Arabidopsis thaliana: one gene and its partners. The protein of the gene in region 1 interacts with the protein of each later gene in a pairwise test. Each region holds a gene or a part of one and is shown in the gene's direction. Other genes may lie near its edges.

Region 1 (7,949 bases):
TCAATGTGTAAAGTTTCAGAAACTTAGGGAATAGATGGTGGAGATGTTTCATAGGAATGTTATATTTGGATTGATCAAGAAAAGGGTTTTACTAGATTGCCTCTATGATCAAAGAATAGTCTAATAATGCAACTATGCAAGTATCGTTCTTAATACAAAATCTTTGCGTCTCAAGTTGGCATTGTCATTGAAAGCCTGTCGAAATGCTCTCTAAAGAAATTTTGCTTAATTGGAGTTTCAATGCCAAATCCTTCTTTGTTTCTATGACCATAGGAAAATTTAGCTGGATTGATTAAGAATTGGGTTTTACTTTATTGCCTTTGTGATTAAGGAATAATGTAGTGATACAAGTAAGGTTCTTAGTACTAAATCCATGCTTGTTGAGTTGGCATTTTCATTGAAAGGTATTTCTAAAGAAGTTTCCTTAATCGGTGTTGCAATGCCAAATCATTGGTTGCCTCTATGATCATCGGATCATATGACTGGATTGGTCAAACAGAATGGTTTTACTTTATTGGCTCTATTATCATAGAATAATGTAGTGATGCAAGTTAAGGCTTTTAATACCAAATCCTCACTTCTCGAGTTGTGGCATGTTCATTGAAAAGCCTGTGGAAATGCTATCTAAAGAAATTTTGTTGATCAGAGTTTCATTGCCCCATAGCGTTTTAGTACTGAAACTATAACAAAAGTCTAAAACTGGTATAGATGATGATATGCCGAAATGTATAATCCATGAAGGTTAGTAATAGTTGCTTTGTCTGTGTGAATTCAATTAACACATGACAGATTATGCCTACTTAAGCTGGACAACTGTGGCTAGGCTGCCTCAAGTTGATTTGGTGATATGCTGTGTTCTTTAATTATGGGTCCAGTGTAGTTGATAGCTTTTATGCCTATGGGTCATATGGGTGTTCTAATGGGTGTTCTATTTAAGAAGTTTGCGTGATCACAGTTTCAAATTCAATGCCCCATAGCGTTTTAGTTCTGAAACTATTGTACCGATGATGAACCGGGGAATTCAAAACACATGTCTAGAACTTATATAGATGAGTAATCCATGAAGGTTTAGTAATAGTTGTTTTGCCTTTGTGAATCTATTAACACAGTAATAGGTTATGCCTACTTGAGCTATTGCTCTGGACAACTTTGGCTGCTTCAGTCTCTTGGTCAAGACATGCTAATTTGTTAAGTATTAAAATGTTATTTTAATTACGGGTCCAGTGTATATTTGAGAGCATGTATGCCTATGGGTCATAATGGGTATAGCGTCGTGGAAACAGTGTGAGGACGTTTATATAGTCAAACGAGGCAATTGTGTACATAGAGATTTTGTATGATTCTTAAGTAAAATGTGTCAAATGAGCACCAAGGAAATTGCCTTTGTTTGTTACCCTTAATCTCTTATTTTGTAAAATCCAAACTTTCGAAGCTCATTTGGTTGAAAAATGATCAATGTTACGTTGAACAACATTGAATCTGAGTTCAAAATTTGTTTAGTTATTGCAAACAATTTGATTCGAAGTTCAAGTTCATTCTAATCTTGCACCTTTGGGATTATATCTTGAGCATTATAAAATGTCATATACCAAAATCCTTACATGAAGTATGATATTCTAAGATGAAGTCATAAGAAGACACGCATTTAAGAGAGTATCATATTACAAGTAGTGAGCTGCCAAGTGGGCATCGTGTTAGTTCAAAATTTCCGAAACGTAGGATGTTGGATAATCCCAAAGGTCAAACCCCCAAAACAAACAAAGTCAATATAACTTAAACTTAACTATACCATTTCCTTATATAACCTTCGAACCATAAATCCAATTCGGAATATTCGTTGATAGAAAACAATCAAGATTCAAAACCTCAAATATTTCTCATCATCTTTTGTCGATTATTGCTTGGATTTTGTAAAGACAAGAATAAGTTACTTCTAAGTGTTGTTTACACACTTTTTTGGATGACGAAACAACCCGGAACAAGTTGAAAACGACGACGCGTAGACATGAGGCTCGCTTGATTGACCATTACGCCGCCAGGGTAGACTTTTCGTGCCCATATATAATAAACCCTTCTCTTTCCTTTATCCCACAACATCATCCACTCCAAATATCACATATTACCAAATCTAATCGCCGACATACATTGAACTCAAATCCGCTCAGAATCTCCGACAATCAGTTCCAATCCATGGCTCAGAATCAACAACCTATTTTCCAGACCAAACCTCCAGGTAATAATAAGAATCAACAAACCAGATCTCTCGTTTCTTGATCTCCTCTTCTTACAAAACAATTTGATTCTAATTTCCTCTGTTTCTTTTTGCAGAACAATTTGTGCAAATACCTATCAACATCGAGCGTGATTCTTCAACCACACGCATGAACCAAACCGGAAACACAATCCGGAAACCAAACCACTGGCCAACCATCACCATCTCAATCATCTTCGTCATCATCGGTCAATCCATAGCGAAACTCCTCGAAAACTTCTACTACGACAAAACCAACCGAAGCGAATACAACGAAAACCGTCAAAACGATGGCGTTTGGACTCAATCTCTTCTCCAAACTGTTGGTTTCCCTCTCCTTCTTCTCCCGTTCCTCATCTTCATCACCAAGAACAAACGCAACCACCATCAACAACCTCCGATCACTTCCGATTCAATCCACTTAAAATCCTTAGCTGTGATCTACATTTGCATCGGAATTATCATGTCCGTTCAAGGAAGACTCGCAGCCATGGGAAAACTCGAGATCCCATTTGGTGTTTTCACTCTGATCTACACAGCACAGCTCTTCTTCACTCCTATCTTCGCAGCTTTCATTAACAAAATCAAATTCAATCGATGGGTTGTTATCTCTGTGATCTTAGCTATCATCACCGGAGCTCTTACTCTGTCTTCTTCATTCGGTGGTGAGCCTGATGAAGCAGAGGAGAATTACGCTAGAGGCTCATGGGCTGCTCTGTTCGCTGGAATCTGTTTCGCTCTTCTTCTCTGTAACATCCAAAACGTCTTCGACAGTTACATCTTCAAACGAACTGAATCAACCAATCAAAAACCAAGCTTTGCCTCTGTTTTCGAAGTTATTATCTTCTCTTCTCTCGTTGCTACGATCATCTCCGTCGTGGGTCTGCTTATAGCCGGTGAGCAACACGATTTGAAGAGGGAAATGAATGGATTCTCGAAAGGGAAAGGTTCTTATGTGATGGCTATGGTTGGTCAAGCTGTTTCGTGGCAGGTCTATTGGGTTGGGATTGTTGGACTTGTCTACTCTGTTTCGAGCGTGTTGTCGAATGTGATCAGTGTCATTACGTGGCCGATTGTGTCGGTTCTTGTGGTGATCTTCTTCAATTTCATGGATGATGAGTTTGATGCCTTCAAAGGTGTTGCCTTGGTTACTGCCGTCTTAAGCGCTGCAGCTTATTTCTTTAGGCTTCACAAAGACAATCGTATGGCTTATTAGGTTTGGATTCTTGAATCTCTAAAGAAAGTTTTTTTATTTCCCTTGATTTTTTGTGTGTATATCTAATCATATATTCTAGGTGTTTATCTTGTGTAAGTGTAAGTGTGTAACAGCTTTGGTTATAGATGTAAATTTGTATGTTTTACAATGAAAATGTTTGGAAGTGTGCAATCTATAAGTACTTAGTTCAAGTCATCTGTATCAAGAGCCTCAAAGTCAGGTTCTGATGGCTTTGTTAAATTCATTAAACTCTTTGAACTCTCGGTGACCCTTAGTTTATGACCCTTAAGCGCGTTAGCAGCAAATCTTGATGCAAATACCGTGGAACGTAATGTAGAACTTGATCCAACAGAACTATCACTCCTTGTAACCATACCACCCATATTATCATCATAATATTCATCATCTTCATAATCCATTTCTTCTTCTTCTTCTTCTTTACGTCTAAGCTCTGCGATTTTCCTTCTTAAATGTCTACGCCAAGCGGCTTGGATGAAACAAGCAGCCCAAGTCCTCCATTGTTGAGAGTAAAACCTGAAAGTTTGTTGAACCTGACGACTGTGAAGACGCCTGAACTGACTAGCCACAAACTTGAGCTCTTCCGCTTCTAAAGCGAAAGCCTCTACTTCAGTTAGAGCCTTCACTGTTCGTGTGGAAGAAGGTAAGTTTGAGCCTGCTTTAGGGTCAAGTGCCCAAGTCAGAAGCTCTTCACCACAAAAGTCACCTTCTTTCAATAAACCTCTGTTAAAGAAACCGCTTCTTCCACCATCTGTTGTTACACTCTCTAACCGGCCTCGGATTATGAAGAGCATTTCGTTAACCGGGTCTCCTTCTCGCACTATGTAAGTGCTCTCTGTGTATAGACTTGGCTTTAGTCTCTCACATATTGCGTCTAGTAATCTCTCATCCATATTAGCAAACAGAGGAACCTGCAAAAAAAAGAAAGAACATTGTTCCTTGTGAATGAAGTGTAGGATCTTTAGGCAATTCACATTTCTGAAAACTTACCCTGCGAACTAAATTTAGACAGAGATGGCGTTTGATGTCTCTTCTAAGATCTTTTGGTAAACTCTGGACTATGTTTTCTTCGTCGACTCCTCTTGTTTCCAACCATTTGTATTGATCATAACGTCTGACTCGTTCCCTCAGGTTTTGTGGAAGTGACCTGTGATGCATCCACTGTTCGGAATCACGTCTTTTAATCCTCATTTCCTCTAAGCGAACCGTAAGTGACTGAAGATAAGTTTGCATATTCCCAATGAGAAGAGCAAACAAAAGAAGTCCAGCTACAGCAATTGCAATTGAAAACAAAACTTCTCCTGGATATGTACTTGTTTGCAGCCCTTGACCTAACGTGCTATACAAGAAAACACCCAAGTCAATAAAATTGCACCACAGTCTAACAGCTATTCATCGATTTTCCAAGGAAGGTACCTGAGATTTTGGAGACCCCACCATAGACAATAACAAAACTTGGAGAAAAACGTTGTCGAAGATACAATACCGGAAGACACAGCCTGGCTATAGATCCCGTAGTTGAATTTAGACTCATCGCTTTTAGCAGAACAATTGTTCTTAAAAAGATCAGGGACTGATTTGATCCAGTCGGTTTCGCGACTGCTCATTAATTTGCTGCCACAATAAAGAATCTGAACACAGACCTTGGGATCAGGCTGGACTTTACAAGCGGATCTCAAGCATGTATCGTTACGTTCCACTGACAACATGTACCAGAACGCTCCAGTTATCTATCAAAGTATAACAACATTTCTTAAAAACAGAACCAAAAAAAAAAACAATAGATATTTAACCTAGTGCTGATGGATGAATTTTGAAATGCTTACGTGACTTGCAAGCATATACCAGAGGAGGTAATAAGCAGCACCAGCCCAAGCACCTTCAGCGAAAGCTCCTGCTGTTTTCTTGAGCTCTGAAGTTAATGGAATAAACCTAACGAATCTTGGTATGTACTGTGTGATGACAATGTGTAATAGCGCCTGTTTTGTTGGTAATACATCTGTTCCTTTAGATCCGTGAAGAAACTTCCACACAGCAATCTGCATCAACACCACCAAGAATCATCTATTCAATTGAAAACAATGCACAAAACAAAAAAGATTGAAGCGTTTTATTAACTACCTGAGGTAAAGGAAGAACCGCGAGGAAATCGACAATGAAATAACGAGTCAAATACCGTTCAGCGATCTTTGCAGGGTCGATCACAAGCTCACCTCTTCCAAACACACGAGAAGAAGGAGCAATGTAAGCGGTACGGAACTGAAGAGCCATTCGTGTAAGATAAAAAACATCGATGATCGTTCTTAGAGTAGTAGTTGTCACAGCTAATTTAGAGTCAATCCCAATGCAGTTCTTTGAGTTATCGACAATAGGGAGATAGAAGAACAGAGGATCAACAGAGACAGCAAGAATGCAAGAGATAACAAACATTCTGTTCCATAATAAAAGTGTTTTGTCTTGAGGATCAAAGATTTTCTTCTCGGAGACTCTTAGATCTTCAGGGAAAACAGCTCTTGTTACACCTGATGTGAATGATTTTCCGATCGTTTTTAGACCCTCTGATCCGATTTTAACACCTTCTCGAAATGATTTTGATGTGTTCTTTGTCTTTCCTCCTCCACGACTAGTTACGTTAAACAATCCAAAACATGATCGCTTCTTCATTCCCGTAGCATTAGATGACATTGAAACCCTCGAATCTGTATCATCTAATCTGTATTTTAAGAACAATTAACATTCATAGATCTAAGAAAATCTGAATTAATTAACAACGTGAAAGAAAGATTGATCTCGTTGATTTTGTTCTTCTACCTTACGAATTTTTCTCTATGGCCACTTATATATTGAGATTTGTACATTTTCTTGGAGAATGGATCACATATTGATGAGAAAACAAAGTAGCTAAATTGTTGTCAGAATAAGAGAAAGAAAAAAGTTTATATAATGTAAGACTTTTCTTAAACACTAAATAAGGGACGAACATTTTCGTAAGGTCGTTGTTTTATATGTAAAGACCTTTTTTTTTGCTTTTTGGAAAAGGATTTGATAAATAATATGTCATATCAGTCATAATCGAATTGGGTATACAGATGTTGTGGCCTTGTGGGGGATGCATCAAAAACCTATGTTTTAAACTCTATGTGGTCTTTTATACATTGACCATTGACTTTTACTATGCTTCTTGACCCAATTGTATCCTTTTATTTCCAACATAATTTCCCACATTTTTCTCTAATAATTAAACAAGTAACTGTTTCTTTCCATTTTTCAAAATTTGCCAAACCGCCTTTAAAGATATAATTAATACCATTTTTCTTTAGTATTTTTTTTGTCCACCTACTTTTTACTAGTTACTAGGCAAAAATTGGTCTTTAAAAGAAAATTCTAAATAAATAAATAAAAAATCTTTTGAAACATTTCATAAACAAATGTGTATATGAAAATGATATCGAACAAGTTACAAAATTATGATTAGGTTAATCTATAATACTACATCCAATGATAGTCACATCATGCACGTTACATCCAAATAGCTAAAATGCTAAAAATTTTGTAGAGAAGTAGTTTAGTAGATTTAAGTACCCTAGCTAGAATACTTTCCATTTACATTCATCTACAAAAGTTAATACTTCACATGCACTATGTTGTCCTCATAATTTTGATGTTTCTTCTCCAGAACAATTAAACCTAACGTCCGCTATAAGTCGTCATGTCCATGTGATGTGAGAACGACAACAAAACTTCTTCAAGGATTAGTATTAGTCCGATTGTCTCATACACTGAAACTGATCAAGCTCATTCAAGAAACGCCGACAATTGAAAATTTCTCAAATTTAAAAATTTGTTTATTTTAATGAAAGAATAGAACGATACGATTGGATTTACATAAATTGATACAAGCGTTGAAGGTCTTTTTGTGATGAAATTTGGGAGTAACCTACTCTCTTGTTAAGAAAAATATCGGTAACAAATATTTTTTTTAATATTACATAAATGTAAACATAACAAATTATTCGTAAACTATGATGATGGTTTCCACTGTTTTACTGCGGAAATTGGATTGGGTAACAGAAAGTTTTTCTCTTATATATAAATAGATTTGAAATTGTTTGCTCAATGGAACACGAAACCTAGTAAAGTTCCTGTTTAGATCCGGCAAGCAAACGGATAAACTGGGAAAAAGTAGCTTCGAGTTCATCACCAGCCAGAAAGCTAATTCACTATCAAACCCAACCCTATTTGTATACAGAAGAAAATTAGAATATATTTTTTAAACCCTATTTTATATAGAAGACCAAACTTTTTGAAAATAATTCAGACATATTCGAAAGAAAAAAAAAAAAAAAGAAGTTATGTTGATCACATTGGGAAGATCAAACATTAAAGTAAACAAACAGAAGATCAAAATTTGAAACTCTGACATTAATTTAATATCTCGTTTATCCCCAAAAAAAACTTAATGAT
Region 2 (7,559 bases), on another chromosome or scaffold:
CTTTTCTCTTTCAGTAGGACCATGCACAAGAATCTCCTTTCCACAGACCTCAACAGTCTGGCCAGCCTCTTCAACAGACCCAAATGATGTAGGAACAATATTCACTCCAGCAGAATCTGCCGCTTTGATGACAGCTTTCCCCATTTTACCACTGCATCCATTCACCTAAAGTATAAAGATTAAAAAGAGTGAACGAATGGCTTATAACTTGATCCTACAATTACACTCTAGCAAAGATCTATGTAACTTACCCTAAAATATTTCTGTTGCTAGAAAAAAAAAAAAAGGCAACAGCTTTCCATCTATAAATTTCCGGGAAAATCACAATCATCAATGGAAATGCTAAATGTCACAACTCAAGAGTGTTAGGGAAGTAATCAGATACCATGATCGATATGCCGTTACCAGGCGCAACGGAATTTCCAGCTTCCTCGAAAGTCTCCGACTTTCCCATTGACAATACCACCGGAAAACAGCGTTTCACATTGCCGATGAAACTAACACGGCCTTTGAAGCCGAGTGGAACCATTTGATTCGTTCTAGAAGAGAACGAGAAATGGGGATGTACAGGACGGTGGAGAAACACACTAGATGCCGCCATTAGCCTGTGATCAAATCCCAGACAAGAACAACAACAAAAATGACAACTTTAAAGATCAATTCATCAAACCAATGTCGGAAGAGAGTGAATCCAGTTTAGAAACTGTACCCATTCGCCGCCATTTTCGGTTTCCACTTGGTCCGAGATTGCTGTCGAGCAACGAAATTAGAATTTATGTTCAAACCTTGTCTGAAAAATTCGAACCGGCGAACGGTAGGGTTTTAGACATTTTCCCTTTACGTCAGATCCAAAGCTTCTGGTTAAGGTTGGGGTGTTTCAACCAAAACCGGAAAGGTTACTAAAATTGAAAACCGGAATTTCTCTTCATTTTAATGGTCAAACCGGAATTTCTATTTAATTAATTTATCAAACCGGAGTTTCTCTACTTTTTCCTTAATTAATGGTCAGAGTCCGGATTTCACTTTAATTAAGAGGTCATGAATCATCTTTTGTTTTTTTGACAACGAAAATGTACGGAAACATTGTTTTTGTTGGAGCTAGCTAAAAATATAAAATTGAATATGAACCATAAATTTGGTATATTAGGATCAATGCAATGAACCCAATGACCGACCTCAGGTAAGCAGCAGATACATTGTTTTTTTCTCGTCATTCGTTTAATTTCCCTTTCAATCTGTGATTTTTAATTAATTAAAGCTTGATAAAATGAAAAGGTTTAACCCATAAAAGTAAGTATACCTATTCTTGTCTTTGTCACTAAGACATACAAACTTATGATACTCTGAACCTAATCATACTCCTAAATTTTGGAAACCAAATTATGAACACTTTTCAATTAACTTGTTTCATGATAACATCACTCACGAAAACGACCATTAATCCTATTAGACCAACCACAATAAGAGATGCTTGTCGGGGAAAGAATTTCAAATAATTTGGGTTAAATTTCCACAATAACAAAATAATTTGTATCAAAGGGGATTAAAAAAAACAAAAAAAAAAACAACAAACAAAATAATTTGTAATCTTTTTTTTTAAGCAAACAAAAAAGGGGATTAAAGAGTCGTACGAGGAATATTAATTAGGCAAGTTGGTTTGGTCGAGACTCGAGAGATCATGCATTGAATCAAAGGCAAAGAGCCACGTGACGTTTACATGTGGTTCGATCCTCAGTGTCTCATCGATCGCCTTTCTCCTTACAAATCAACCAAATTATACTGTAGTAATCTTTTTCTCAAATTATACTGTAGTAATCTTTTTCTCAAATTATACTTAGTATAATAATGGAATAATATTTCACAAGATAATAATCGAATAATATTATCAAATCTAAAAAAGCTGACCAAAACAAAAATCTTTAAAATTCGCGAACGTTATGAAACTGAGCATATGGACCTTGTTATTGAGATTATTGTAATGCATCAAGTGTCTAAGAATTAGACCAAAACATATGTCTATGCATATTGACTGTCGAAAATCAATTAAATTAGAAGTAGGGTATATAAAACAAGAAGAAGCAATATTTAAACATGACTGACTTATTAGTAAGACAGAGGGAATAATATTATGATAATACTTTTTTTTCTTGAACTTTTTGATACAGGTCCACTGGACACCAATCTAAATGTGTGCGGTGTTCAAGGCAATAATCATGCATGGGTTGCCATATATACACACCTACATCTTAACTTTCCACCATTATTTACTCATCTAGTCTTCAATAAACAAATTCCATTACTAATTAAAAACGTACAAATAGAGATGTTTAATCGTAATACTGTATATCTATCCAAGAACAAACACACAAGTGAACTGAATTTTAAACTGATTAATTCTTTTGTTTCCAAAGAACTTAAAAGGAAGTACTTTTATTTAAATAAAAAATAAATCTTAAACCGCACCAAATAAGTTTTGGTTACTAGTGTATACATTCAGTGAACATTTTTATGAACCCATATTTTAGTAAAAGTATTCTCTTGATTGTAGAGACAAACACTAAACACAAATAAATTGATTTTTTTAGTTGAGCTTATGCTGAGAAGATCCATTTGACAATTTTCTTTCCTTTTTTTGGTCAACGATTCAAGGAGATCCATTTTCTCATCCCTAAATATACGATTTTCGTATCTGTAGAGTAGGAGTAGAAACTAGCGGATCTTTCGATATAAACATTCTAAATTATTAATTTAGGGTTTGTCATCCATGCAAAAAACTTTGTTGGTACACGTCAAATAGTTTAATATCTGAAGCTGCAGTCTTCGTATATTGTTAATTTGGCCTAATTAAAGTAATGCTGCACAATTAATGTGGATAACTAGTGTTGTAGTATTGGTAATCTATCAATTCTCCCAAACTACTCATCGGCTTTTTTGTATCTAAAGGCCAGGAAAAAAACTAATAAAACCACTTGACGTTGTTTCTAAAGGAAATGGCCTATATGTTTCTCAATTCATTGAACCATGAATTATATTTATGGGATTAACTATATTTATATATTAAAAGTAACAAGTGATTTCCGACTGAGTTACTAGCGAAGTCTATTTGCTTTAATTCATCATTCTGTGAGAATTCATCCTCTGGCGATATAAACATCTTGGCTTTATTAAAAACCATCCTCTCATCAAGACTTCACATGCAAAGCGTGTTGTCACGTTACTATGTCCGATCTCCATATACACGTAAATATATAAAAATAGCATCGTGAATTAATTTGAAAAACATTCCTAGCTATTTAACTTGGCTTTATATATAGAAATATGAGAGCATATACATATATTGGCCCAACATTTCCTGGTAGAACAAGCGCATTCACCATATGAAGTGCTTCGAGAAGAACAACACTATGGGTCCTTATTTATCCATAAACATCGACAAAATTATTGGTAGGTACGTTAATAAAAATAATTTCCTCATCGCATCAAATATTTGATTATAAAATTTTAAAAATCAACCTGTATATTAATAACTGGATGATTCAAAATAAACTAGAAAATTATTTTCTTAAAAATTTATAGAATGGTAAAAAGATGGTTTTAAAACTCATTTATTTAAATACTACTTACATATTCAGATCAGAGGAGATTGTAGCTTACGTCATATGTTATATAAGTAAAAGAAATGGTAGAAAAAGTAAGAGAAAAGAAGACCAGGGGAGAAGAACCTTGTGATTGTGGAGGAAGACTAGGCCACACGAAATTCAAATCTTTCAAATTCAGCAACTTGCTTCTCCTCACATTTGTCAGCCCCTTTATATAATAAACGTTCCTCTTTTTCGTCTTTTCAACATATCAGAAAATCCCTAAATTCACTGAACCCTCTTCTCTCTCTTTCTCCCCCCATATCTTCTGATTCTCCTCCAACTCCTTTATTAATAAATTCTCCTCTTTCATTGCTACTTGTCTTCCTCATTTCCCTACTAGTACTTGTTTCACACAGTTTCTTGATCCAACCAAAACCAATACACAAAGCTTCTCAAACTCCTTCACCTCAAAGCTTCTTCCTTTACATCTGAATCGTTGAGTTAACTCGGATTTGTTCTGCATCCTCTGTTTCTGAATCGTGGGCCATCCTTATTTTGTCTCGAATTCTTCACCAATTGCTTCGATCAAGCTGCATTGGTTAACCAGTTGCCCTAAAGATCAGATCTTTGAGCAAAATTTTGTCACTGATCTTCTAAATCCAAACCAGACACAGCAAAACAACCTCTGTAGATGATTCGAGAAATCTCAAACTTACAAAAAGATATTATAAACATTCAAGACAGTTATTCGAACAACCGAGTCATGGACGTCGGAAGAAACAACCGGAAAAACATGAGCTTTCGAAGTTCGCCGGAGAAAAGCAAGCAAGAGTTACGGCGGAGTTTCTCGGCGCAGAAAAGGATGATGATCCCGGCGAATTATTTCAGTTTAGAGTCTCTGTTCCTATTGGTTGGTCTAACGGCATCTCTGTTAATACTTCCGTTAGTTTTGCCGCCGTTACCTCCGCCTCCGTTTATGCTGCTATTGGTTCCCATTGGGATTATGGTTTTACTCGTCGTTCTTGCCTTCATGCCTTCTTCTCATTCTAATGCTAATACAGATGTAACTTGCAATTTCATGTAAATCTGAAATTTATTATATGATGATCTTAATTAATCTTAGGGTTCTTAATCCAATGAAATTGATATACAATATAAATGTAAGTTATAAATATTACATTAAATTATCATAATATATATATGTGAGAATACTTCAACGCACAATAAGAGAAATGGAGGAGAAGAGACTGACATAATATAGAAGCATCATAAGAAGAAATTATACAAAAAAAAAAAAAAAACCTCACTTCGTCATCTCAAACCCAAATCCCAATATCCGTTAATTTAAATCGTAGTATTTATTTGCTTATTTTCAACTATTCGTAGAAATTAGAAAACCAGTGAAGCCCAAAAGCAGAATCCATTTGTTTCAATCGAAAATGGCGGTAAGGTGATGCTCCAAAACCGCCATAAGGTTACGAGTCTGGCTTACTTCCACAACTGCAACAGCACAGCCTTGAAGCTGTCTCACTGCTTCTACAAGCTGTCCTCTTAGCCTCTGAGACAGTAACCGACCGTCCGCTTTCATGCACTCTCTGTACAGCGGCATGTACGCTATTGCTACTCTTAGCGGTGCAGGAAGGTCTCTTAAGGATATCGCTGACTCCCCTTTTTTCAAAACTCTCATGAAATTCATGAAATCGTCATGGCTTTCTCTCATTCCTTTCTCAAAAGCTGACTCCGACCAGTGTTCTTGGAGAAACGATTTTAGATCTGAAGGAACGGATTCGTCTTCTGATGACCTTGCGATGCTGTCTGCCACTGAGTATGTAGCCGTGGAATCTCCTAAGAAGTCTGATTTGAGAAGAAACTCTACTCCTTGGAGAGACCCTCCGCTTCTTTCTCCTGCTGCTTTGAGGATTTCGATGCTGAGAGCGGTTAAGACAGGTGGTGGAACACGAGGGAGGAGATAAGCAGCTACCTCGACTTGGCAACTTGAAGTGGCCGCTGTTAGAGCCAAGCAAAGCTCCATGTCACGGCAACCTCTTTTCACAAACCATTGAACAACTTGCATGCAACCTCTCTCTGCTGCTCTCATTAAGGGACCCAAGAAGGCAATGGCATTACCTTCTTCCACTAGGCACTTCATTGTTCCGATTTTACAATAATGCGAGGCAAAACCAAGAGCTAAGTCCACATCAACATCTAAGCTGTTCCTTTGGGCAATCTGCTCCAGGAAATACAATATTTGAGCACGAAAAGAGACCTTCTATAAGTCTAGAAGCAATCAAAAGAATGGAAGCTTACCTGCAATAAGACGCGGACAAGTTCTGTACTACCAAAACGTGAAGCTTCAAGGAAACATTGGTTCACATTATCTGCGCCACCTTCAACAAGCATACCGAGCAGTCCCTGTATAACAGTAGCTGACATCCCAGATGCCCAGCCAGGATCAAACGAGTTGGAGAACAGAGTGAGCGGGAAACAAGCTGCATCAAAGGCCTCAGTGAAGTCTCTTCCTGAGAGATGGTTTCCTGCTAGATCTAAGAACATCTTGAAAGCAGAAAGTTGTAGTTCAATTTCAGCAGCCGAATTTTGGCTAACTCTATCCTTTGCCCCCTGGCATCGGGAGTGGAAACCTATACATTTGAGAGCCCATTCAGTGAACTTCTGAACTTTGGCACCAGCCTCTGCTTTTAGAATCTCATCCCCGTTGCACTCTTGGAGACGCTCATGCAACCTATACATCATGTACAAACCAAATATGAACTCACATGTTAAACAAACTGATTTAAAGTTTTCTTAAGCGGAATTGTTTTGTCTATGACATTTAGTAACATCAGCGCCCACAAATACTAGCAGTGTCATTTGATTATCCTGACAACCAATTACATACAGATATAACCAAACACTATAACCAGTAAGGAAAAATTTGTGCAGCTACAAATATACCTAAGGTTCCCGTGAGTGAAGCAAAATAAAAAGAAACAGGGAAAAATAGAAACAGCCAACCAGTCTAAGCACCCCAAATCTGCTTTAGAATTATACTTAAAGAGAAATTAAAAGATTGCATGATTACCTTTGAGCCATAACAGTTACTGTATCAGAAAGACTCATTGTCCGGCTCTGGCAAGCAGAGACACAAGAAGCGAGAAACGAAGTCCTAAGAGTAGCTCTAGTAAAGTCATGAGCACCATGACATATGATCTTCTTAATCAATCCGGTGATCCCCTGAAACTCAGGCTTTGTACTCAAGAACCAAACTGAATCTAGACCAACACACAACAAATCATTTAAAGTCTGAGGATCAGCCAACTGAATCAATCTCTCAGCAAGTTCCCAATCCAGTGAGGTAACAGCGCCTTGGAAGAGCCGTCCCAACTCAATTCTTTCTTGCCTATTAAGCTTTTTCTGCTGCTCAATATTTTCCTTCTCAACGAGATCATCATCCCCTTTAAAATTTAGTTTCTTAGCACTACAACCACAGCATTCTCCCGAATTAGTTCCAGCTGAATCCTTTCCTATTAAAGGTGCCTCTCTCGAAAAAACCACTTTACTCCCCTCGCCTCCTTCAAATTTCTGAGATGAAGCAATGGTTTCAGTTTTCATCTCGGAACAGAAAGGCTCATCAGGGTACATCTGATCACTTAAATTAATGGTATCACACACACCTTCTTTCTCCATCCTTGTCAAGTCTGTGACTTTCCAAATCAAACTAAAAAAAGAAGCACACAAAGCTTATTCATCCAAAAGCTATCCGCACAACAGACCACACACTAAACAAAGTATATAGCAAATCCAATCCTTGCATCATCGAAATCTACAAAACCAAAGGCCAAAACTCAAAACCCGGAACTGATCCCTATCAAAATCCACCAACACAGTTCATTCTAATCAGCGTAAATCCTCGATGCCTTCTCTTAAACGCACTATCTCTTGACCATGGGCATAGGAAATCAACAACAAACCCTAAAAATG
Region 3 (8,558 bases), on another chromosome or scaffold:
AAACCAAAACCGTACCTATGCTTAAACGAGGAAAGTTTCGACGACCATCCAAATGCCCCATTACACTCTTCACTCTGTAACAGATATAAAAGGTGACATCAGTTAATATATCATAGAACACATTTAGATGTTCAAGAGGTATATTCATACCCGTTGTGATAGCCTTGACCTCCTTTCGGTTGAAGTCTCAAAACCCCATTTGGTAAAGCCATCTCATCGTAAATCTAGTAGAGAGAAACAAAAGTGTTCATATGGAACATAGTTCTGGATTCAAGGGATGCTTAAGTCAGTGACTTTACCATTAAAATGTGGCGCAATGGTACTCGATAGTGTGAAGCTAGAGATCCAACCTTTAAAACGACAACAGAACAGTTTCAGGTATGATGATTATTTGATCACGCAGCTGATCTTTGCAAAGTTATGAACAGAAAATACAAACCGATTCGCCGCTGAAGTTCATATAAGTCTGAGGTTTAGCCAACAAGATAGGTACATCTTCAATAGCACCTGTACTGATTCATACATAGAACCAAAAAGTCATCAGTTTTATTATTCTTCAAACCAAAGAACCAAAGCAAGAGAAGTAGAACCTATTCCGATTAGAGCTTTGGACTGTATAGTGTTCATCAACACCCCTTCTTTTCTAGCCAACACATCGATCATCTCGAAACCAACCTGAAAACAACACAAAGTTGTAGCATTGCCAAGATCAAATCCAGCAATTAAGTAAAAGAAAAAGATTGTGTATCATTACATTGTGTCTTGTTCCATGATACTTGTTTCCTGGATTGCCCAACCCAACGATAAGCCAAGGAGTGTACTCTACTTTGAATCTATCATCCTCACCACCAGAAGTAGATGAACAAACCCGAAACCTCTGTTTCCGGAAAACTGGCTTTTGCGTTTGAAAATGGTAAACACTTGGTGTATACGTTGGGCACAACATGGAACTGTTGTTGATTCAAAGACCTATTGAAATTGAAATGACTAGAAACTTTGAGATTCAATACTTGGAATATACATAAAGATAAAAGCTTTTCAGGATATAATGAAATTCGAAATCATATAACAACTGAGAATCAAAACTTAATGAAACCCATTAACAGAGATACAGCGCAGATAAAAAATAATTGAAGTGTAATCGAACAGAGGACTCAGCAAAATTTCTGGAGAATCAGAGATTAGCAATGAGCTACAAGGATTACACAAAAATGTATTTGTGGTTTATATTATGTTATAAATTTTCAGTAGAAGAAGGATAAGTGAGAAGGAAAATAGCTTACCTCTTCTTCTTCAGGATTTTTCGAAACAATTTCGGAATTTTCTTTTGCGAAGACGTTGGAACGAGATAGAAGTAGAACGATGAAATACTGAGACGAAGATGTTAGAAATTGGTCCCGTTTTGTATTAATGGGCTTACTAATATTAGCCCACAAAAATGATGGGTTAAATAATAGTGGCCCAAGTTACTATGATTTTTATACGTCACCGTTACTATGCTCAATGGCGGCACGTGAGTACTATTGAATAACACGTGCGGCTATATACGTCATCCAAAATCTAATCCAGAAAATCCAACGTTGCCAAATCGCCAATCCTGCGGCTCTTACGTAACTCTTTTACTTCTTTTTTTCTTACCCTTTTATCGACTAATTTATGTCGAATAATAATTGTAAATAATTTTCTCAATTTATAAACTCAAAAAAATTTCCTAATTAGTCCCGCCACTTAGTTCGATTTAGTTGATACTGGTTGATTTATTCAAATTTCCTAGCAAATATTACAAAATTACCAATCCAAAATTGAAAGTTGCATCACATGCATTAAATTTCATGATTTCTTTAAAATAAGAAATGAAAATACTCTATTTTCCGTATGGTTTTGGATAAATATGAATTATTACACAAAAATCCAAAACTAATAAGGAAACAAAATTGCATTATTTATTTTTTGGTGCGTTTTAATTTTTTTTTTTAAACGACAATAAGCTCCACAGTGAGTTCTTCTCAGCAATCACAATCTATCTGGTTTAAGCCCTCACTATCCTCTCTCTCAAATCGCGGAGTCTCCGAAGTTTCTCTGGTAATTTTCAAATCTGAAGTTTTGCTTTGGATATCACGATTTTTGTTAATCAGCCGCGATCGAGAAGAGCGTTTTTACTCTCTCGTTCGCATCAATGCAACATATTTCCCAATTTCGTGATGTTGCGTCTTCATCGTTCCTTACTTCTCTCTTTTTGAGTTCTGTTTGGTATAAATGCGATCCTTTTTTTTCCTTCCTTGCCTAATATTTCTCGTTTCCTTGCAATTACGGTTATAAAAAGTCAGACAAAATGCAGTCGTCAACGTATGCGGTTAAAGGAAACGCTGCGTTTGCGTTTCAGAGACGGACCTTCTCTTCTGACAGATCGACGACTTCTACCGGAATTCGCTTCGCTGGTTATAAGAGCTTAGCCACCACCGGGCCACTCTACTGTTCTGGTTCTGAAGCCATGGGAGCGACGCTTGCTCGTGCTGATAACGGGATCCAGAGCGTTATGAGTTTCTCTTCTGTCAAAGCTCGATCGGTCAGAGCTCAAGCCTCATCTGGTTCGTCTCTTCTAATGCTCTTCTATCTTTGTCTATCATTAGATTCTGTGATTGCTTACAAGTTCTTAAATACAATTTGAAGAATCTAATGTATAGTTTGGGATTTGGACTAATCATCTGATGGTTTGAGGAATGAAATGTAGATGGAGATGAAGAAGAAGCTATACCTCTGAGATCTGAAGGGAAAAGCTCTGGAACAGTTTTGCCTTTTGTTGGTGTTGCTTGTCTTGGTGCTATACTCTTTGGTTATCATCTCGGGTATGACTAAATACTACACTGTTTTTATCTTGGTGTGATCATGGATGATGATGTTCTATTGGACTGAATCAGGGTGGTTAATGGTGCTCTTGAATATCTTGCTAAGGATCTTGGGATCGCCGAAAATACTGTTTTGCAAGGCAAGTATATGATGATCCACTTCTTTACTCCTCCTGTCAACGGTAAAATGATTCGTGTTTTGATTAGTAGCCAAACTCATAATTGGTATTCTCTATGATTGGTGTTGAGCAGGATGGATTGTTAGTTCTCTGCTTGCTGGTGCTACGGTAGGTTCATTCACTGGAGGTGCATTAGCTGACAAATTTGGACGAACAAGAACTTTTCAATTGGATGCTATCCCGCTTGCCATTGGAGCTTTCTTATGGTAAATTTTCAAGCACTAAGCCATACCTATTGGTGAGACGTTAATTGATTTCTTAACGCATTGGTTCTTTTTTTATTGATTAGTGCAACAGCTCAGAGTGTGCAGACTATGATTGTGGGACGTCTGCTCGCTGGAATTGGAATTGGAATCTCATCAGCGATTGTACCACTTTACATATCTGAGGTTGTTTAAATACTGATTTTCATTATTTTTGCACTTTTAGCATAAGATGTTAGATTTGTTTATATGTTATGTCTCTGAAGCGTTTGATGATGGTTGTCAGATATCACCAACTGAAATCCGTGGAGCACTCGGATCTGTGAACCAGTTGTTCATCTGTATAGGAATACTTGCAGCCTTGATAGCTGGATTACCCCTTGCAGCAAACCCTCTATGGTATGTAACATCCCTTTTTTATTCATCATCTTTTATTTTGGGTTGCATACTGTGATAAGTTTTGATATCGTGGTCTTCTAGGTGGAGGACGATGTTTGGTGTTGCAGTTATCCCTTCCGTTCTATTGGCCATAGGAATGGCTTTTTCTCCAGAAAGCCCAAGGTGGCTCGTTCAGGTACTCTCAAGGAACAGATCTCAACACTTAAAATGAGATCAATTTTTGACAAGTCAAGGAAATCAATTTTGCAGCAAGGAAAAGTCTCTGAAGCTGAAAAGGCGATCAAAACTTTGTATGGTAAAGAAAGAGTGGTTGAACTAGTTCGCGACTTATCAGCCTCTGGCCAAGGTTCTTCTGAGCCGGAGGCAGGATGGTTTGATCTATTCAGCAGCCGCTACTGGAAAGGTATAGCAAGACTTGGTGGAGATACATTGTTTAGTTTGTAATAAAAGCTGACGGATTCCTTTCAAAGGTCATATCGGATTGATCAATTTACATAGTTTCTTGTCTGTTCTTGTTGTAGTTGTAAGCGTAGGTGCGGCTCTCTTCTTGTTTCAACAGTTAGCCGGGATAAACGCAGTTGTGTATTACTCCACATCGGTATTCCGTAGTGCGGGAATCCAATCAGATGTTGCAGCCAGTGCTCTCGTTGGAGCATCAAATGTCTTTGGTTCGTTTCCCCGTTATGTTCTCATTAAATTCCAAAAATAACCAAAAAAATAACACGATAAAAATCTGGTCGCAGGCACTGCTGTTGCTTCATCGTTGATGGATAAAATGGGAAGGAAAAGTCTTTTACTGACAAGCTTTGGTGGAATGGTACATGTTTTTATTAAAATTCTTAGCCATATTCGAAAATCTCAACCCTCATTAGTATTACCACAACAGGACTAACTTGGATTTTATGGTTTTGTATTGAAAAGGCTTTGTCAATGCTGTTACTCTCCTTGTCCTTCACATGGAAGGCTCTTGCTGCCTATTCTGGAACCCTTGCCGTTGTTGGAACTGTTCTGTAAGTCAATCTCCTCTTAACACTTCCTTATAGTCTCTCTGTATAGGACTTGACTGACTCTTATGCTCGGTTGTTTAAATCAGATATGTCCTGTCATTCTCACTTGGTGCTGGCCCGGTACCGGCTCTTCTTCTTCCAGAGATATTTGCATCCCGAATCAGAGCAAAAGCCGTCGCTCTTTCTCTCGGCATGCACTGGGTATATACATATATCTATAGGTTTTATGGGTTCAGAACAGAGTTTCTTCTCTCTGTTTCTAATGTTTTGTTTCTCTTTTGCCCTAACAGATATCAAACTTTGTGATCGGACTATACTTCTTAAGCGTTGTGACTAAATTCGGAATCAGCAGTGTCTACTTGGGTTTTGCTGGAGTCTGCGTCCTTGCGGTCCTCTACATTGCAGGAAACGTCGTCGAGACTAAAGGTCGATCACTGGAGGAAATAGAGCTTGCTCTTACATCTGGAGCTTGAAATTAAACAAAAGAAATCAGCAGAACAAAAACCAGTTTGTTTCATCATTTAGTTTGTGAGTCTTTCTCTAATCTGCTACTCTTAAATTGTACAATGGACGACGTTATCAATAACGAGAAATCTTTTCATGACCACTACATGTTGGCTTTCCTTTCCCACCTCTCCCTGGTATCTAGCCTGTTTCAAAACAAAAAAAGCATGGCATTAGCACGGTTTTCTCAATATGAAAAAGAATTCTAAAATTAGCGAAATAAGCTCACCCCCAAAACAGTTTTTGTGGCTTCTTCGGTACTGTGACTACTGTCTTGTTATGATTCTGTTCTTCTAAGGTAGAAGAAGAAGAAGAAGTTGGTTCTTTCAACTTTTTAGAGCTTTCGCCATCTTCGATCGCTTTACTCTGAGAATTCTTGCTCGCTGCATTTCAGTGTAGAGCTTTTAGTCTAGTGAATATGAACTGAGAATTCTCAAAAAAAGAGAGCTAAATATATATATACCTTTAGGTTTCTTCTTATGAATCTTTGCATTAGCTTTTATTTGCATACGTCTCTTGTGTAGCTCCTGTAATCTCAACACAACCAAAATGGCTTCAAATTCAAATTGCTATGTACATAGTAATTCGGTTGAAAGAAAAAAAAAAAAAACTGGATTGAACAGTTGATAGAAATTCGAATCAAGATGATTATACGAAGTCGTGCTTACAATCTCATTGGGATATCTGAAGATCAGAAACATTAAAAGTCGAGGCAAAGAATCTGACCTGTAATTTGGAAATTTGTTTCTGGGTGAGGTTGGATCGATTAAAATTGGGTTGAAGAGATAGTGTTGAAGCTAATAGAGCTTCTTTTCGATTCTCCTCTGCTTCTCTGTCAATTTCCTCGTTTGTCCTCGTCGTCGCCATGGCTTCTCCGTCGGCAACTTTGAGAATGTTAAGAAACCGACGTCGGAAACTTTCCTTTCCTTTTTGTTGGGGGATTAAATACCGAAATTACCCTAAAATATTATGCTAGTTTAACTAACTACCCGAATGTTTTGAACTAATACATAATTGACCTAACACTTTCTCTAATTATCAATTACACCCAATTGTTTTGGAATTTTTGGCGTTAGTGAGTTACTATATTAATGAGAAATCTTAATTAATGTATCATAGATCGTGCCGAAAATAAATGGTCTATGTCTAACAGCTTTGAGTACAAGTAAAACTCTCAAGCTTGGTCTTTAATTACTTTTGTGCCTTGACTAAGCAATGTAATTAGACCTTACGACCTTTAAAAATCCACTAATCTAGCATGCCGATCACGACCGCAACGCTTACTCTCTGTATTAATGATTTTTGTAATCAAAACTTCATATTTGACTATTTAGCAACAAAAAGAAGGTTCTGGCAATGTGTCGTCAAGTGCACCTAAAGTTAGGCATGAAATATTGTTCCTTCCATGGTTTGTGGGTCAGCACCGAACATTTCGCACTCTCTTCCATCTCAGTACTGCAACATTTTGAATAATTAACTCGTCCAGGTTATTTATGAAGAATTCCTTAACTTTGGAGTAATCAGGTTAGTTTTTTTATTTGATATTATTTTGGTTTGAGTTATTTAATTTGCTATTGTATTGGTTCGGTTTAAGTTAGACTTTCAAAAAGAAAAATTAGACAAAATTGAACCCACGCACACAGATAAACAATTCAATAGATCATTCAAGTATAGGTTTGAAATACAGAACTGCTCGGTTATATCCACCTCTCACCAAGGTGTTCAATGTGATTCGGTTAAATTAAGATTAGATTCAAATATTCATATTTTCAACAGCAACAGAAAAAAAAACATATTTTGACAACATGCCACCCTTAGCTTATTTTGACAACATATCATCACCCTTACTTGAAATTGCAATCTCTTACTACACTCCGTCCTATGGGCAAGATAAAATTTCGTCAAATCGTGTAAATGTTAAGATCTAAAACCTAAGTTTTGTATCTAACACATGATCGTTATATACATATATTGACCTGAGAACAACTAAAAGTCAACAGGTCACGTCTTCGTTCCAAAGTCTACTCTTTTAATATACATTTATATAACTTGCAAGAGAGCTCCTTTTGACGTTGTCCAATACACTCCAAAAACCTTGTTTTTTCTTATACAACTTGTAATAACACATTTATAACAACTGGTTGCAAAATCCTTAACGATCACAACAACCTCTCTCTCTCTTTTTCTCTCTCTCCCTCTCCCTCTCTATCTCTACAATGAGCATTAGTGATCATAAGAGCAAGAAAGAAGAAGAACAGTACCCAATGATCACAAAGCCCTTGAGATTGATTCTCTTACAAAAGGGAAGTTATGTCTTAAGCTCACTCTTTTTTGTATTCGGTTTCTCGGTTGGTCTCTTCCTTTGTCTGCAACTAAAAGCCGTACACATGTCTACGACGACGACACAACGACAACCCTTATGGTCTACCTTATTATTCAACCACACGGTCCACACCACAGAGATGGATATCAAACAAGAGTTGCAACTACAAGTACTTCAACACAACATGAGTGATCAAGAACTCTTCACCAAGGCCTCGTCATTATCATCACCAACATCATCCTTATCGTCATCATCATGGTTAGGGAGGAGACATAATAATGATGGGAAGATGGCTGTGAAGGTGGCTTTCATGTTCATGACAGGTGGAAGACTCCCATTGGCTGGCTTGTGGGAAAAGTTCTTTGAAGGACATGAAGGGTTTTATTCCATATATGTTCATACTAATCCATCTTTTCAAGATTCTTTCCCCGAAACTTCCGTCTTCTATTCAAGAAGAATCCCAAGTCAGGTGATAATAACAGCTTTAGTTTGTTAATTATATCTTTCTCTTTTCTTAAATAAACCTATTTAGGTACCCCTATATATGATCAGTATACTACTAATCAGAAATTATATCACTAGTTTTCCAAAAACACATCACTATACTTTTCCAAACATATCTCTTCGATTTGACAGGTTGGTTTTTTCACATGGCACGTGCATTGATCTTGATTCGACAATTGCATAATGGTCCATTAAGGCATGAACCCATTTGATATTATTCTACCATAAATACATTTCTTTAATCATGTTAATAATATTCAAAGATAGACTATTCTCAACTTTTGTAAGAACAAATGAACAATACATAGAACAGTTTCAAAATGCATCTCAATATAAAATTTCTAGATGTTATATAAACTGAAAAAGGGCGTAGGAATGCTTTTTATGTTTATTAAGTTTCTAGATATTCTAACTAATTTTCAAGTTAAAAGCGACAACAAATCTAAATTCAATAAATCTAACAAATTTAAAAGGCTTAAATTTGTATAAACAATTTTTTAAAGATTATTTTAACAATAATATTGATGTTGATTTGTGAAACTTTTTGTCAATCAGCCGGTGTATTGGGGAACATCATCAATGGTAGACGCAGA
Region 4 (7,454 bases), on another chromosome or scaffold:
GAGGAGGATGATGAACGAGAGAGGTGTAGAGAAGATTCCTGGTTGTAGTTCCATTGAGGTTAATGGAATTGTCTGTGAGTTCATCGTTAGGGATAAATCGAGACCGGAATCTGAGAAAATTTATGATCGCTTACATTGTCTTGGAAGGCATATGAGGAGCTCGTTGAGTGTACTATTTTCGGAATATGAGATTACTAATAACTAATGGGACTGAATGAAACTGCTGAGTTTTGTATTAAGGCATCTTTGGTCTAAACTAGTATAGAAATGGGTTTGAGGGCAAAAAAAAACTCAAATGACATCTCCTGTGTATTAATTGGCCAGTTTAATAAAAACATAGTAACATTAAGAGTGTCATTTTACATTTTTCAACATGATTTATACACTGAGTTTTTTTGATTTAACATTAACCTAAAACTAATAAATTATTTATTATTTGTTAAACAGAAACAAATATATACATAATTAAAAAAAATTGTGTGAATATGTCAAAATGATACTCTTTATTAAACGGAAGGAATATTAAAAAACCCATATTTAATGAATTAAAATGTGGGTCAATATTTATTGATATCCTCTCTTCTTTTGGTAAGGATTGGTTTGGTGAACCTCAAATACAATGACCTCCATGTGCGTCCCATTTCCTGATTTCGAATTCTATAAATTTCTTAGGAAACTAGATACCTTCCGAGTCCTATGTATTAATTAATTGTGACCGTTTCTCCGAAGTGTAATAAATTTGCATACGAAAATTGACAACCTCTTTTTTTGGTTCAACCAAAAATTGACAACTAAAGATGGGGACAACATAATCTCTTAAAAACGGCAACGTATCAGTACCTTTTAGAGTTTCAGAACGCAAGGTCATGATGATGACGACTTCCGTAGTGTCAGTCACTTTTCGAGTTTCAGATAATTTCTTGTTTGATTGCTAAAAAATATGAACCAATGGCCTGAAATTGTTGCCTCCCTTTCTCACAACAATTCTCTTATCTCAAGACACCAACTCACTATAATATTTTATCCACTAAAGTGTTGTTATATAACAAAATACAAAAAATCAAAACAAAAATTGACATCTAAATTTTAAGTAAATTATGCATAATTTAGAATTATATTGCTAATCTTTTTATCTTAATTTATTAATTTTATCCTTAAATTATTAGCCGTAGAGTAACTATAGCATTGAGCACTACGACGACACTGATCACATTAAAGTATTAAACAATAAATGAATAAAAGATGCATGCTTTTTTGTAAAAAAAAATATAGTATGAATTATTTGGCCAACCAACGTGAATGTGAAGATAAGGTTTTGTATGCTTTTTACAAAGTCAAAAAGTGCCTTGACCATACGTTAGGTTTAAAATCAAGAGTTGAATAATTCACTCACAAATTCATCGTGACCTTTAAAAGCCTATCAATAAATGTGTGTTAGTTACACTATTTGATTATGAACATTGACCAGGATTAATGTTTGGTTCTAGCTAGATCATTCGCATTTCATAAATAGTACAATTTTTTCATTATTGTTATCAATAGTATTAATTATAGCATTATTTCTTGTATACGTTACATAAACAAAATTCTTGTATAAATATTTAACTAGTTGTTGAATACAATAACAAAAATCTAACTATTCATATTATACAAAAATAATCACTATTAGTATTAATGTATCTTATTAATATGGAGTAGTAATTATTTTTGTATGTTATGAATATATATTTAGATTTTTCTTAAGATGTTTTTAATAGTAATTATTTTTCATAAGATGTTTCTTATTAATGTATTTTTAGGATTTTCACACATCTTAAAAAACATATTAAAAGTTGATTAGAAATATATTATTCTTCTTGAAGTTTACACATCAATAATAACTAGTAATAAATATTGCATAGAAATTTTAAAAATGACTATCTTTTCGAATCAAAAAAATTTCCTACAAAATACAATAATAAACAAAGAGAGTAGTACTGTTCATCTAAATACTGTATAATGGATGTTTTACCAATTTTAACAATTACGTACAAAAGTTTCACACCTTTATAAAAAAAATTTGATCAATTATCCTTTTATCTTCTTTATTTTTGCCAGCTAATATACACTGCAATAATCCAAACTTAACAAACATTTAACATTACTTCAGATTCATCATTCAATAATTTCACAAACCCATAATTTTACCAAATTACTACACTAATCCCCCATTGGCACCAATTCTATAATTAGAAAATTTATTTCTTTATTTATTTATTTATTTATTTCTATTTATTAAAGAAATAAATTATAGAAATTGGAATGCCCACCACCACCAGAGACCACACTTGCACAAATTCCATCTATAAACACAAAAGCCTTTAGTATCATTCTCGAAAACCACCAAAAACCTCTTTATAACCCAACAAACAAAGTCTCTACTTCTTCTTCAATCACTGAAACACAACACCAAAAAAGAAAAAAGTATGTCTCTTCTTCCCCATCTCATCCTCTACCTAACACTTTTGACGGTGGTTGTTACTGGAGAAACTCTCCGACCAAGATTCTACAGCGAGACATGCCCTGAAGCTGAATCCATAGTAAGAAGAGAAATGAAGAAAGCAATGATCAAAGAAGCAAGAAGCGTCGCTTCCGTCATGCGTTTCCAATTTCACGACTGTTTCGTCAATGTAAACACTATAAATCTTTCTCTCTGTTCTTGATCTTTACTCTGTTTTCCTCTCTGAATTTTTCTTTGAATCATCAAATTCAGGGATGTGACGCATCTCTGTTGCTTGACGACACACCAAACATGCTTGGTGAAAAACTATCACTTTCCAACATCGATTCACTAAGATCTTTCGAAGTCGTTGACGACATTAAAGAAGCTCTAGAGAAAGCTTGTCCAGCTACTGTTTCTTGTGCCGATATCGTTATCATGGCCGCTCGTGACGCCGTTGCTCTTGTAAGTCAAAATTCAATTTCCCCGGTTTAGTGAAATCTCGGTTTTGTAATTTTGGTCTTTGAAAAAACCAGACAGGAGGACCAGATTGGGAAGTGAAGCTAGGGAGGAAAGACAGTTTAACAGCGAGTCAGCAAGATTCCGACGATATAATGCCAAGTCCAAGAGCCAACGCAACTTTCTTGATTGATCTCTTCGAAAGATTCAATCTTTCTGTAAAAGACATGGTTGCTTTATCAGGGTCACACTCAATAGGTCAAGGTCGGTGTTTTTCAATCATGTTCAGACTTTATAACCAATCCGGTTCTGGTAAACCGGATCCAGCTCTTGAACCGAGTTACCGTAAGAAGCTTGATAAGCTTTGTCCTTTGGGTGGAGATGAGAATGTGACTGGAGATCTAGATGCAACACCTCAGGTTTTTGATAATCAGTATTTCAAAGACTTGGTTTCAGGGAGAGGGTTTCTTAACTCTGATCAGACTTTGTACACGAATCTAGTGACGAGAGAGTATGTGAAGATGTTTAGTGAGGATCAAGATGAGTTCTTTAGGGCTTTTGCAGAAGGCATGGTGAAGTTGGGTGATTTGCAATCTGGGAGACCTGGTGAGATTAGGTTTAATTGTAGAGTTGTTAATAGAAGGCCTATTGATGTATTGCTTGTATCTTGAATTATCATTAGTAAAGAGAAGAAATCTTAATTATGACTTCTAAATTGATGCAAATCTTTTTAGCTACATGCCATGGATCTTGGTTCTCCAAAACTTTGATTTTGGTTTATGAATACTGGTCACTGCTAAAGCTACAATCTGGTCACACCAGTCTATAAAATAGTAAACATTATCTAATCACTGAAGTTGTTGTCCCAATAAACAAATTATGGACTGGACAAGTAGCAACATTCTAATTCTGAGGTACACACAAAGAAACTTAAATGTAAATATTCCTTGTTTCAAGGTTTCAGAATTTGCACATATACAAAATCTCGAAATAATTAAGGCACATTAAAAACCGCCGGTTCACCCGGTTATAGAGTAATCTGACCGTCCACTTTATCCGGTTTACTTTTAAACCGATTTTGTGGTCTTAGCTCATAAATGTCAAGAGTCCTTTCTTTTCTTCCCCATTGTTGAAAATCAGGTTTACAGATTCAGTGAGAGATCAGATCGCTAAAGGTTTGTGCAATTAGGGTTCTCAGATTCTCTCTTTTGTTTAACTTTGGATTCAAATCGCTAATGGTTTTTGATTTCGTTGTGTAGAAGAAAATGGATTGGCAAGGACAGAAACTGGTGGAGCAGCTGATGCAGATCTTACTGGTGATCTCCGGCGTTGTAGCGGTGGTTGTTGGCTACACAACGGAATCGTTCAGGACGATGATGCTGATCTATGCCGGTGGTGTTGTTCTCACGACTTTGGTTACTGTACCTAATTGGCCTTTCTACAATCTTCATCCTCTCAAATGGTTAGATCCGAGCGAAGCCGAGAAGCATCCCAAACCAGAAGTTGTCAGTGTTGCTTCGAAGAAGAAATTCTCTAAGAAATAGGTCTGATTCTGAATCTCTCTCTCTCTCTCTCTCTCTCTCTCTCTCAGAATTGTTTGTATGAGATATTTGTGGATCGGAATCTTAATTATGAATTGAATATTCTGGGTTGATTCTTATAATTATCTGTTTTTGCCAAAGGAATTTGCTTTTGAATCAATGGCTATGGCTGTAATCTGGCAATTTCACTGAATTGTGTAGATTATCTATCATCAGAGAGTTTTAGATGAAAAAGTCTTATGAATCACAAAAGTCTCAGTTTTTATGAAAATGGTACATAAATATCACACCATCCATTTACACTCTGTGTTAAGCTTGTGTGCAAAAACCAATGCTAGTCTTTGATGCTTTGCTCCTTCTTATTTTCTTGAGTCGAAGTAGAAATAGTTTGTGTGATTCCAAACTGTTCCGCTAGTCGCTGGTCAGAGGATTTGCACGGGTTCATATTCCGGGAGATTCGAGTCATCTGGCGAACGCGAACGCTTAAAGGTAGGTCATAGGCTTATGAAACGAAATGACAGTTGAATCAGCGAACGCGTACAGGTTTGGAATCAGAATTTGAGAGAACCAACATTTGGCAGGATGCTTGTAAATGAGCTGTGGAGAAAAAGGAGTGGTTTAGTTAGGTCAGCATTAGGAAGAAGCAGAGGATATGAAAAGTATACCTTCACCAGAAGGATGAAGCAAATTCACAAACAAAGAGAGAGCTCTCCGGAAGTAGCAATAGCCAAAATCTACATGGTATCGCAAAAAAAATACATCATGTGGATAAACAATAGAGGAAAATTCAGTGATTGTAAGAAACTAGTCAACTCTAGAGACAAAATCAAATACAAGGTATATATGACAAACGTATATCTTGAATGCTCGGCTAGTGTCATTACCAATGTGGTCAAGAAAAGAGGTTTCTGTGTGAATTGGGTAAAAGGTTGTGAACCTGAAAAACCATACAATAAGCATATTACTCTAATACTCCATAAGAGAATAGGACAAGAAAATTTGGGAAACATACGCAAGACATAACAAGTTGACTCCATAATTCTTCATTGGACATTGAGAAGTCTTTTCTGTTTGGTTTTGTCTGTTCATTTGGATCTTATTTGAGCTTCAGCCCATCAATAAATATGAAAGGGCCTGTTTAAAGCCCATCAAATAATTGTTTTACGATACCACATTTTTGTGTCCAACATTCAACACAATAAAGGTTTTGTGATTTCTCACACACAATTAATATAAAAAAAAAGTTTACAAGACTGATATATTCATGAGATAATAGACACGTTTACTAGATCCGTGTTTAACGTAGATCTTCTGTTGTCCTCTGTGTTATTCACTCATTAAGTAACTTTGTTGCATTCACTGAGACTGTGAGACATTGACCATCGAAGCATTTTTGGGGATTGACGAATATATCTATATGCTTATCCTAACTTCGATGAGATTATACATTATAGTAGTTTATACGTAAATCTAAGCATAAGTATTGATATAACAATTAAGAAAACGATAATCAATCAAGATACATAAATTTACAGAATCTGACCTAAGATACCAGTGAAAAGTGAAAACATAAAAAAATTCAATTTTGTAATTGTTTTATATGTTTATACTTTTTTCCGCAAGATAGTAAACAAAATTTGTAAGTTCTTTTTATTTTTTAAAATGCATATAAAAAAGAGGTGGAAAAGTCAAAGAAATCAACGGATAGAAAAGAGAGATATTGGCGTGGCGTGTGGGAAGCGGGAAGTGTTGATGGAGACAGCAAAGGGAAGTAGCATTCTCAAGCACGAGACATCGCCGCTCTCAGACAAATCCTCACCGGAGCGACAGCGACTCTTCTTCTTTCTTCTTTCTTCTTTTCTCTATAATGTATAGTACTTGTTAAAATACTGAATTTGCGGTGGAATTATACAACTAAATTGATAAAAATATATTGGATGTTAAAGTAAAAAAAAAAAAGTAGAAAGAATTTAATCACGTCTAACTCTTAGTAAATCTCTACATATAAAGTAAACTGGTTGTGTGCATATGTAAAGACACATGCATATGATAAAGTTTTTATCTTTTTTCTTAGCCAGCAATAAAGTTTTCTTTTTGGCCAAAAATGTTTTTTTTATTAAAAGGCCGAATTTTTTGACTTTGAATATCTGCAAACAAAAAAAGAGATAGGTCCCATTAATTGCTGACTCGTTCTATTCCCTCTGGACCACTTGCAATAACCGACACGTGCCATATACTTCGAGACAAGACAAATTATACTATACTTAGCTAATCTTTTAAGCCGATACGAGCCGTATAAGCTGTCTCCTTCAATGGGTCTTACTAATCGTATTCAATTTTTTTTAACACTTACCTAAACTTTGTGATTAATCATTTTTTTTTGTATTTTAACTTAGATTGAGTTGTATATTAAATAACAAGAAACTAAAAAAATAAATTCGATGAAAATTGACTGTGAATTAAGCAATTTAGAGAATATTTGCAACTAAGTCTAAATTTCCCAAATTAGAATTTTGAAAGTTTTCAGAGTTAAAAGTCTTGAAAGAGACCATTGGTACGATCACATCTCAAATTTTCTAATTTGATAAATTAATGTGACTGCAAAGCTGTATATCTTTATCTTTGAATAAAATATACAATCATCTTTGAAAATTTAGGACAATATGCTTTTTTAAATATTACTATATGATATTAGTTGAAATATTGAAAACGTTTCACCATCGATGCTATTGTGAGCTTTTGATTTTCTACAAGCGGGCCCTCGAAAACACGGGTGTCTAAAATATTTGGAAATCTTATTCTGCAAATAAGTACACTAAAACTGTCAAATTTTAATTTAACTATAGCATAATGCAAAATTTGTAATTAAGTAATAATCCGATTGGACGAAAATATCTTGTTAATTCTATAAATGTATTTTCTTTTTTTTTGATAAAAATTAAAGCTTTCTTCAAGAAAAAAACGAAAAAATAATC

What was found.
Region 2: the proteins of PUP14 (region 1) and ARGOS interact in a protein complementation assay, tested with the Arabidopsis thaliana proteins (one large-scale study listed by BioGRID).
Region 3: the proteins of PUP14 (region 1) and PGLCT interact in a protein complementation assay, tested with the Arabidopsis thaliana proteins (one large-scale study listed by BioGRID).
Region 4: the proteins of PUP14 (region 1) and AT2G22425 interact in a protein complementation assay, tested with the Arabidopsis thaliana proteins (one large-scale study listed by BioGRID).

The regions. Positions count from the first base shown.
Region 1 is NC_003070.9:6,830,236-6,838,184, forward strand, and holds PUP14 (purine permease 14), read left to right. Parts: upstream 1-2,089; 5' UTR 2,090-2,190; coding exon 2,191-2,233; intron 2,234-2,328; coding exon 2,329-3,467; 3' UTR 3,468-3,602; downstream 3,603-7,949. Other genes in the region: CNGC8 (cyclic nucleotide gated channel 8), read right to left, coding at 3,650-4,396, 4,476-4,824, 4,902-5,215, 5,312-5,524, 5,607-6,198, 6,297-6,343. UniProt on the Arabidopsis thaliana protein: Purine permease implicated in ATP-dependent cytokinin translocation that controls the spatiotemporal landscape of cytokinin signaling. Depletes ligands from the apoplast, which leads to a suppression of the cytokinin response.
Region 2 is NC_003074.8:22,125,769-22,133,327, forward strand, and holds ARGOS (auxin-regulated gene involved in organ size), read left to right. Parts: upstream 1-3,736; 5' UTR 3,737-4,272; coding exon 4,273-4,665; 3' UTR 4,666-4,704; downstream 4,705-7,559. Other genes in the region: AT3G59890 (Dihydrodipicolinate reductase, bacterial/plant), read right to left, coding at 1-165, 386-605, 710-723; AT3G59910 (Ankyrin repeat family protein), read right to left, coding at 5,011-5,808, 5,889-6,321, 6,661-7,265. UniProt on the Arabidopsis thaliana protein: Promotes cell proliferation-dependent organ growth. Takes part in the AXR1-dependent auxin signaling pathway that requires ANT during organogenesis.
Region 3 is NC_003076.8:5,270,572-5,279,129, forward strand, and holds PGLCT (plastidic GLC translocator), read left to right. Parts: upstream 1-1,904; 5' UTR 1,905-2,082; exon of another isoform or gene 2,083-2,323; 5' UTR 2,324-2,332; coding exon 2,333-2,588; intron 2,589-2,731; coding exon 2,732-2,846; intron 2,847-2,918; coding exon 2,919-2,986; intron 2,987-3,098; coding exon 3,099-3,231; intron 3,232-3,314; coding exon 3,315-3,414; intron 3,415-3,514; coding exon 3,515-3,627; intron 3,628-3,708; coding exon 3,709-3,802; intron 3,803-3,876; coding exon 3,877-4,030; intron 4,031-4,148; coding exon 4,149-4,295; intron 4,296-4,370; coding exon 4,371-4,444; intron 4,445-4,548; coding exon 4,549-4,637; intron 4,638-4,720; coding exon 4,721-4,835; intron 4,836-4,924; coding exon 4,925-5,107; 3' UTR 5,108-5,241; downstream 5,242-8,558. Other genes in the region: AT5G16140 (Peptidyl-tRNA hydrolase family protein), read right to left, coding at 16-74, 151-224, 300-350, 440-507, 591-675, 755-946; AT5G16160 (uncharacterized protein), read right to left, coding at 5,242-5,284, 5,368-5,521, 5,602-5,665, 5,865-6,005; AT5G16170 (Core-2/I-branching beta-1,6-N-acetylglucosaminyltransferase family protein), read left to right, coding at 7,355-7,930, 8,521-8,558. UniProt on the Arabidopsis thaliana protein: May be involved in the efflux of glucose towards the cytosol.
Region 4 is NC_003071.7:9,510,876-9,518,329, forward strand, and holds AT2G22425 (Microsomal signal peptidase 12 kDa subunit (SPC12)), read left to right. Parts: upstream 1-3,819; 5' UTR 3,820-4,113; intron 4,114-4,197; 5' UTR 4,198-4,203; coding exon 4,204-4,482; 3' UTR 4,483-4,799; downstream 4,800-7,454. Other genes in the region: SLO1 (SLOW GROWTH 1), read left to right, coding at 1-205; AT2G22420 (Peroxidase superfamily protein), read left to right, coding at 2,466-2,669, 2,753-2,944, 3,016-3,609; AT2G22426 (uncharacterized protein), read left to right, coding at 6,142-6,354. UniProt on the Arabidopsis thaliana protein: Component of the signal peptidase complex (SPC) which catalyzes the cleavage of N-terminal signal sequences from nascent proteins as they are translocated into the lumen of the endoplasmic reticulum. Dispensable for SPC enzymatic activity.